2 linked regions of the Arabidopsis thaliana genome follow. The protein of the gene in region 1 purifies or fractionates together with the protein of each later gene. This does not show direct contact. Each region holds a gene or a part of one and is shown in the gene's direction. Other genes may lie near its edges.

What was found.
Region 2: the proteins of AT5G48480 (region 1) and AT2G43090 fractionate together in Arabidopsis thaliana (co-fractionation; one large-scale study listed by BioGRID). This does not show direct contact.

What each region holds. Positions count from the first base shown.
Region 1 is NC_003076.8:19,642,251-19,647,341, forward strand, and holds AT5G48480 (Lactoylglutathione lyase / glyoxalase I family protein), read left to right. Parts: upstream 1-2,288; 5' UTR 2,289-2,563; coding exon 2,564-2,847; intron 2,848-3,191; coding exon 3,192-3,408; 3' UTR 3,409-4,066; coding exon of another isoform or gene 4,067-4,375; 3' UTR 4,376-4,590; downstream 4,591-5,091. Other genes in the region: AT5G48470 (uncharacterized protein), read left to right, coding at 221-376, 599-667, 765-935, 1,018-1,161, 1,256-1,414, 1,527-1,592, 1,693-1,752, 1,833-1,877; DIR1 (Bifunctional inhibitor/lipid-transfer protein/seed storage 2S albumin superfamily protein), read right to left, coding at 4,067-4,375.
Region 2 is NC_003071.7:17,917,030-17,921,208, forward strand, and holds AT2G43090 (Aconitase/3-isopropylmalate dehydratase protein), read left to right. Parts: upstream 1-1,896; 5' UTR 1,897-1,927; coding exon 1,928-2,683; 3' UTR 2,684-2,695; intron 2,696-3,152; 3' UTR 3,153-3,467; downstream 3,468-4,179. Other genes in the region: AT-P4H-1 (P4H), read left to right, coding at 164-238, 471-545, 638-708, 802-853, 1,102-1,191, 1,280-1,372, 1,463-1,570; IPMI2 (isopropylmalate isomerase 2), read left to right, coding at 3,656-4,179. UniProt on the Arabidopsis thaliana protein: Catalyzes the isomerization between 2-isopropylmalate and 3-isopropylmalate, via the formation of 2-isopropylmaleate. Plays an essential role in leucine biosynthesis.

The sequences.
Region 1 (5,091 bases):
CTCGTTAGTACGTATTTCTACGTTTCCATAGAGTTATGTTTTCATCTGGGCTTGCTTTAGTGTTGTTTTTTGTAAGCTAGGCTTTTCGTCGAACAACTTAACGGCGTTAGGCTTAGTAGTTTTTGGGGCATATTGTTCACTTTTTAATACATAGAATCGTTACTTGTTTATTAAGGGAATTATTGGTTCCGTAATGGCTTGATATGTCTCTGATGTGTAGTTGGAAGATATGAAGATGAATGAAGCATCTGAGAATGTTGCTGTAGAATTGGCTGCACAAGGAGTTATAGGGAAAAGGGTTGATGAAATGGAATCAGGGTTTATGATGGCTCTTGATTACATGATCCAACTTGCAGACAAAGACCAAGACGAGAAGGTAAACCAATTCTGCATTTTCCCTCTGAATGTACACAAAAATATTTCTAGAATTGACTTGAGTTTTGCTACATAGAACGACCAGGATAGCTAGAATTGCTTTTGCAATGTAGTGTAGCAAATATTACATGTTCTCTGGATTTTATGGCTGTTGTTAGTCTTGCCATTAGTTCTGTAGCATAAGCTGGGACAAAGGATTAAAGAATTTTTGTTTTGGATTCAGAGAAAGTCTTTACTAGAGGTCGTCAAGGAGACTGTCTTATCTCATCTCACCAAGAAATGCCCTCCTCATGTGAGTAATATTAAGATTAGTTTCTTCTTACTTTCTAAATTTTTCATTAGCTTCATTTCATGTTTTTAATTTTGTGTAAGTGTTGCTCCATATTTAGGTCCAGGTGATTGGTTTACTCTGTAGAACCCCGAAAAAGGAAAGTAGACATGAGCTTCTGCGTAGGGTGGCTGCAGGTGGTGGGGCTTTTGAAAGTGAGAACGGTACTAAACTTCATATACCCGGAGCAAATCTGAATGACATAGCTAATCAAGCTGATGACTTGCTAGAGGTACTTGTGTTTGTTTAAGTATAGATATCAATCTGTATTTGAGATAGTTTGAGAATGTGAACAAGTCTGAGGATTTTTGCAGACTATGGAAACAAGGCCAGCTATTCCGGATCGAAAACTACTAGCGAGGCTTGTTTTGATTAGAGAGGAAGCCCGGAACATGATGGGAGGAGGTATACTTGATGAAAGAAATGACCGAGGTTTCACTACTCTTCCTGAATCAGAGGTTTGTGTGACAAACTATTATGTCCATGATGCTGTGTTTGTGAACATTTTTTAAACATTGAGATACAGTGACTTGTTGCTTGATCGTCAAACAGGTGAATTTCTTAGCCAAATTGGTAGCTTTGAAACCTGGAAAGACTGTGCAGCAGATGATCCAGAATGTAATGCAAGGGAAAGATGAAGGCGCAGATAATCTTAGCAAAGAAGACGATTCTTCTACCGAAGGAAGAAAACCAAGTGGATTAAATGGAAGGGTAAGTATGATCAAGTGACACATTGTTTTGTTAAAAGAGAAGACTTTTTCAGTAGGCTCTGAACCAAAGATATGTCTTCTTTTCTTACTTGGCCTACTTGATGCGATCTCAGGGAAGCGTTACAGGAAGAAAACCGTTACCAGTAAGACCAGGAATGTTTCTAGAAACTGTCACAAAGGTATGTTTCCAACATTCCTCGATCCCCTATGTTCAACAGATGATAGTAATAGAGAACATTGACCACTTTTTTATGTGATGTTTAAATCCAATCTTGATAGGTACTGGGAAGTATATACTCGGGTAATGCCTCCGGGATAACAGCACAACATCTAGAATGGGTAAGTTCCTCATAACACCAAAACATTTGCAACCAAAGTCTCGTTTCTTTGCATTCATCATAGTTTATTTCTGTTCACAGGTTCACCAAAAAACCCTCCAAGTTCTTGAAGAAATCGCTTATTAGTAATATCTTTTGTTACATCAAGAAAGACTCGCAGGTAGAGATTGCGTCCTGAAATAATCTTGATCGGTATATAATTTGTAATTTGGTTGGTTGATATGACATATAATGTCTCTCTACTAAACTATGCACATCCATTAAACCTCAAAAGTTACATGTGACGTAAAATAAAATTGGAAAGGGATAGAAGAAAAAAAAGAATAATGGTAGTGATATTAACATATCTTTAAACCCATTCGAAACGGATGGGAAAAAATAAAATCGTAACTTTTGTCCTATGTGTACCATTCAGAGTTACACAATGATAACAAACTAAAATATTTGATGACACAGTATATAACAAAGATTAAAATATTCGAGTAACCAATTTTAATTGATTTCTTTCCAACGGTTTAATAGAGGAGACATGCGAACGAGACACGAGTCCTATAGGGTAGTAAATGAAAAGTGATTAGTAGGGGCATATTCACGTAAATAAATCAAAAAGTAAGGGTAAAAATCCACGGACGTGAGAGCAATTGTTATATCCATTTGAAATCCTCGTCAGGTTACACGAAACGATTCCGCTTCTCCGCTTCCTTCATAAATATCTCACTCATCGTCTCTAGATTGTTCTTTCACACGCAATTTTCATTTCTCTCTTAACCGTAAACGAATCTCTCTTCTCAAAGTTTTATTTTCTCTCTGCGATGGCTCAAGAAGATGTTACTGCTGTTGCTACTAACGGTGCTGGTCCGGTGGAGACGCATCTTGTCTTCACTGAGTTCAAGCAGATGTTGCTCGTTGAAGCTCAAAAGGTCGGTGACGCTGTTACTTTCTACAAATCTGCTTTTGGTGCGATCGAGTCTGGTCATTCTCTTTACCCTAAGCGTAAGCTTGACCAAGAGCTTCCTCATGTTCTCTCTTCTGAGCTTAATCTCGCTGGCTCTTCCTTCGTTGTTTGCGACGTTTCCTCTCTCCCTGGTTTTTCTACGTAAGTCTCTCTCTCTCGTTTTGGTGTTTAGCTTCTAGATCTCCATGTTTTCTGTTTTTTTTTTAGGTTTTTGTTCGTTTAGTGTTTGATTTCGTTTTAGATCTGGTTTTAGGTTGTTTTATTAGAAGAAATCTGGAGAATAAATCATGTTTAGAAGTTATTCCTCTCCCTTAAACACGATTTTTTTGTTCGTTTTAGATCTGGATTTAGGTTTTTGAAATGAATAGTTTTTGGAAACTTTTATAACGCTTAAAAAACTATTTTAAGTGGATGATTGTGCCTTTTCTTAAATACGATTACTGTTTACTTATGTGGTTTTGTTTCTTTTTTAAATCGTTAAACAGTGCGAAATCGGAAGGTTCGGGAGTGACTTTTCTTCTCGGAACTAAGGATGCTGAAGCCGCCGTTGCGAAAGCTGTTGACGCCGGAGCTGTGAAAGTGGAGGTTACGGAGGCAGAAGTTGAACTGGGATTCAAAGGAAAAGTTACGGATCCTTTTGGTGTCACTTGGATCTTCGCGGAGAAGAAGACCGTGATCACCGACGAGAACAAAGAGGTTTAGAATCTGTCGTCGGATCTAATTCTTCGTCGGTTTCTGAACAAAAAAAACTATCTATTATCCTAGGTTTATGCTTTTATTTTGTCTTTTGTGGAATCCGGTAATCAGTAAACCGGATCGAGTAGGCTAATGACTTTCGGATTCTAATTTCACCCCTTTTGACAAACTCTAATCTTGGTGAAATTGCATATTAATCTCGGGCTATATTATGTTTTGTTGATGATTTCGCTTCTCTATCTATCTTCTATAATCGTTCTGTGTTTAATCTGTGTTCTTTGTCATTTTTGTTGGTTTAGTACTAAGGGTATAATCGTCTATTTGGAATGAAAATGAAATGGTTAGTGATTAGATAAGACGGAATTAAGAATATTTGTTGTTTTGGTGTCAGAGTGTTGAATACTGTGTCAGAGGTAGTGAAACCATAAACCTCTGTATTTGTGCTTTGTGGTTTCTCTCTATCGCTTATTGGTTACATATTTTTCGAAATTGCCCTTCCGTGTTTGGGCCTTGTGTAGTTTTCGATTGGTCCTCTTTCTTTTCTTTTGACCAGTTTTTGGGGTTAACCCATAAACGCCATTTGGCAGAAAATACGATTTATTAATAACATCCGATATTTAGAATAGGAGTAATAAAAAACATAAACACACGTATACAGAGTCTTTTAACAAGTTGGGGCGTTGGCTAGACCACACTGTTTGGGGAGAGCAGAAGCGAGTTCAGGATCAACACCGAAAGAACCGAGCCATGGAGAGTTCTTGTAACCACAAAGACATGCAAAATCAGCGTGTTGCAGAGCGGTGCAGCAAGGCTGTGATGGGCTCGTCGGATTCTCCTTGCTAACCGCTGGTTTGCACTCATTCAACTCATCCTGGCTCATGCCGCAGAGATCTATCGCTACTGATGTATCGACCAACATAGCCATTATCACGATCATCGCCATCATAACCATAGCTGCTTTCTTGCTCGCCATATTATTATCCTCCTCTCTCTTTTTCTATATGTTTGTTTGTGTTTGTGGTGTTGAAATGAATGTGCATGAGAAGGTGTATATATATCAAGTTTTAGAGAAACCCGTGAACCAGATTGGATTGCTCCATATAGTCACGGGGATGTGTTTTTCCACTTTACTTTTGGGAGAGGGTCTTTTGTCATAGAATCATAAGCTTTCGGATTCTTATCAATTATCAAGTATCGATTACACAATTTCCAGTCCACAAATCTTTTACTACAAATGGAAAAAGAAAATTCAACTTGCACATTGTATTTGTATATAAAATTCTCTTTTAATCGAAAAAAAACACATTAATAAACATCCGCAAAATACTGGGCCTGATATGAGCCCAAGTAAGAGTACTCTAAGAAGTTTCACAAATTACGAAAATAAAACAGTTAGCGAGTATTACTGTTAAGTGTCAACAACAGTTAGCTACTTTAACCACAAAACAAATGAGAACATCAGTTAGTATATAAACGGGACAAAATATAGAACGAAGAATAAATCCAAATCTCTAGATTCTCAATTTTTTTGCTGTTCTATTTTCAAATAAATGTTTTATTTTCTTTGAGAATTTCAGTCCTATTAGTGTAATTAGTGATAAACTCATAAGCATGGCACATACGAGATGATTATTTGGTCTACGAAATGGTTTAGTGGATTTAATATATGTATTTTTATAGTTGATACTT
Region 2 (4,179 bases), on another chromosome or scaffold:
TATCATCTTTATTCTAGCAAGGATAAGCTAAGATTTGATAGAAAAGCAAAATCTTAGGCTCAGTTCTAAGTATTATCATAAGAATTAGCAAAAGAGCTTTTGGCTGTTTTTTGTCTTCCCATTAAAATAGTTTTCTTGTTTCTCCTGATATGTATATTTGCAGGAATGTGAATACCTAAAAGCAATCGCCCGGCCTCGCCTTCAAGTTTCCACTGTTGTTGATGTAAAAACCGGAAAGGTATTGGACAATACCTTCCTTTTAGTTCTGTAGAAGAAGTAAAATTTCTATTACATCCACTCTCTGCCTTCGATTGTTCAGTTGTTTCAATCAAACATTGGACACAAATAGAAACGCTCTAGGTTTGCCTGCAAAGTCTAATTCATTCTCTTCCATAGTAGACATATTCTAGTTATGCTTTCAAAGTCTTAACCATACTCTTCCATTTTCTTATCACTTTCTTCTTGCTTAGGGAGTTAAAAGTGACGTGAGGACAAGCTCCGGAATGTTTCTAACTCATGTAGAAAGAAGTTATCCAATAATACAGGTAAGTCACTCTCTCATATCTTTTAAAGGCGTGCCATTTTGATCAACTTTACAATTTTGTAAATTATATTCCTTTTCGTTTGCTATTATTAGGCAATTGAAAAGCGAATTGCAGTCTTTTCTCAAGTACCAGCGGAAAATGGAGAACTTATTCAAGTTCTAAGGTGCGTGCACAACCGCAACCTTACTATTTTTTAAATCTAAAGTAAACGAAGCTTTTTTCTTGTTTTGATGAATCAAAATCTGCTGCAGTGCAGATATGAGCCGCAGCAGTTTTACAAACCACATCACGATTACTTTGCTGACACTGTAAGTCTTTGGTTCTGTTTTCATATATATATATCATTAGTAGATTGGTAAAGAAAGCTTTTGCTCTGATTAAAAAAAAAACTAAAAAGAGGCTACAGTATTTAACTTTTGGTTTGGTCAATAATGTTTAGTTGGATCTGTACTTCATCTTCTCCTTCTTCATCATCTTAGAACATTTAGTTTGGAAGTACGTTTATTGTGGGTGTTCATCATATTTCCTCGTTTCTTTTCTTATGGTTGCTACACAGTTCAATCTAAAGCGTGGTGGTCAGCGCGTAGCAACTATGCTTATGTATCTAACTGATGACGTCGAAGGAGGAGAAACTTATTTCCCTTTGGTATAACACTTTCTCTCTGTTCATGCAAATTTCAGAAAACAAAATAAACCAATGGTGTAATATCTCTCTCTCTCTACTTGAAATGCAGGCTGGTGATGGTGATTGCACCTGTGGTGGCAAAATCATGAAAGGCATCTCTGTTAAACCCACCAAAGGAGACGCAGTTCTCTTCTGGAGCATGGTTTGTTTCTTCAATCTCTCTCTCTATGTCTCTACACAAACATGAATCAATTGGACTGCTTTGAGTTCAATTACTTCTTGTGTTATTCAGGGACTCGACGGACAGTCAGATCCTAGGAGCATACATGGAGGATGTGAAGTTCTGTCTGGAGAAAAGTGGTCTGCTACTAAATGGATGAGGCAAAAAGCTACTTCTTGAAGAACTACTTAAAACTTTTTAAAACAAAAAGAAACCACAGGGACTTATATTGAAAAATGTCATAGTATCTCAGAGTTTTGATTTACTCTCTTTTTGACCCTTCAATTTTAGAATTTATCATTTACATACGTAAATCAATATGAATGTGTTTTACATTTTAACCTCTCCAACAAATTCTAAATTACTGTTAGCATATAACTGACACAGAAAACAATTACTGTTACAAAAGAATTAACTATCATTTCACCGAAATAACGAAGGAGAGTGGCATTTTGGTAAATAAGAACAAAGTCTCTATTTATAATCGCATTTTGGTTGACTTGCTTCAATCTTGACCACAGCAAAGAGAAACAAACAATGGCGGCTTCTCTGCAATCAGCAAACCCTACATTGTCACGAACCCTAGCTTCTCCGAACAAACCTTCCTCCTTCGCCACCTTCCGATCTCCATTTCTCAGATTCAATTCAACATCCGTCGCTTCCAATTTCAAACCCCTAGTTTCTCGAGAAGCATCCTCATCGTTCGTCACTCGCTCCGCCGCCGAGCCACAAGAAAGAAAAACCTTCCATGGACTGTGCTATGTCGTCGGCGACAACATCGACACTGACCAAATCATTCCCGCGGAGTTTCTCACTCTCGTCCCTTCGAATCCAGAGGAATACGAGAAACTCGGTTCTTACGCTTTAGTTGGTCTTCCAGCTTCTTACAAGGAACGATTCGTTCAGCCAGGTGAGATGAAGACGAAGTACTCAATCATCATTGGCGGTGAAAACTTTGGATGTGGATCGTCACGTGAACATGCTCCGGTTTGTTTAGGAGCAGCGGGAGCTAAAGCAGTGGTGGCTCAGTCTTATGCTAGAATCTTTTTCAGGAACTCTGTTGCTACTGGTGAGGTTTATCCTTTGGATTCTGAAGTTAGGGTTTGTGATGAGTGTACAACTGGTGATGTTGCGACTGTTGAGTTGAGGGAAGGAGATAGTATTTTGATCAATCATACGACTGGGAAAGAGTACAAGCTTAAGCCGATTGGTGATGCTGGACCAGTGATTGATGCTGGTGGTATATTTGCTTATGCTAGGAAAGCTGGAATGATTCCATCTGCTGCTGCTTGATTTTGACTTCAGGTATGATTCTGTAACTTGATGATGATGATGATGAGGATTGGTAATAGGTTAGGATTGAGATCGAATTTGTGGAATAGTCTAGGAAGCTTGACATTGAATTGAACGATGCAAAACATAGTTTTCAATGGTTCTAGTTAGAGAAAGAGAACACAGTAGTTGGGATTCTAGTTTTGTGTTGTTTAAAATGTGTTGGTTTAGTTTTTGTGTGAGATTGATAATGACTTGTTATTCTTTCTCTTCGCTTAAGACTTACTTTATCTTTCCATTGGTTCAATTTCTAGATTGTACATCTCTTGATTGTAGTTGTTGGGAGGGTAAAAGTTATGATGTTGGCTGATCTTTTCCATGCTCATATCCATTAAGACTTGAGTGTCCGATAGTAGAACAATACTTCACTCTTATTTTGTCTCTAAGACTCCTTTTTTTTTTTCCTTTTTTTGTTCTATTTGTTTTGCAGGTGTCAATGGAAGTGCATGAGAGTCACTTCAAGGATCTTGATCCAATAATAAGAATATGTAATGTTTCCAAAAGCTTATGAACCTAATCTATGTTTTATGAATATATATGACTATCGGCTTTAGTCTTCAGTATCAGTTTCTTGTTTACATTTGGATGTATCAGCTGCTAAAAAAATGCATAGTTTCCCATCCCATTTGAAACGACGTTTTCTCTCATGTCTTCCACTAATATAATCTTCTGGTCATGAGAACAGAACAGGAGCTCTGTTTTTCTCACACAATGATCGAACACACTTTTGTCATATAGTATAGAGAAATATTAACACTTCTTTTTAGGCATCCGTATCTAGAGTCTTTGTTTCACTGTGACCTACCTAAGTATATCAAAACGCACGTTTGGAATTCTGAATGGCACTTTCGTAAATAGGAGGGTACAAACATTTCTCCTTTTAAATTGTTTTCATCGTGAACTCTCTCACTCACTCAACAAAGTAAAGAAACAATGGCGTATTCTCTTCCTACATTTCCCCAAGCCTTACCTTGCTCGTCAACCAAAACTTCTTCCTCCTTGGCTACCTTCCGATCTCCTTTCTTAAGATTCAATGGTTCCACTTCCTTAATCCCCTCCTCTATCTCCATCACTTCACGTGGCACATCCTCCCCGACCATCATCCCACGTGCTGCCGCCTCAGAATCCGACTCTAACGAAGCCCTAGCCAACACAACCTTCCACGGCCTCTGCTATGTCTTGAAAGACAACATAGACACCGACCAGATCATCCCAGCAGGAGCCGCTTGCACCTTCCCATCGAACCAGCAAGAGCGTGATGAGATCGCCGCTCACGCTCTCTCTGGTCTACCAGACTTCCACAAAACACGGTTCATTGAGCCAGGAGAGAACAGATCAAAGTACTCAATCATAATCGGCGGCGAAAACTTTGGTTGCGGATCGTCACGTGAACATGCTCCGGTCTGTCTTGGAGCAGCTGGAGCTAAAGCCATAGTTGCTGAGTCTTACGCAAGAAT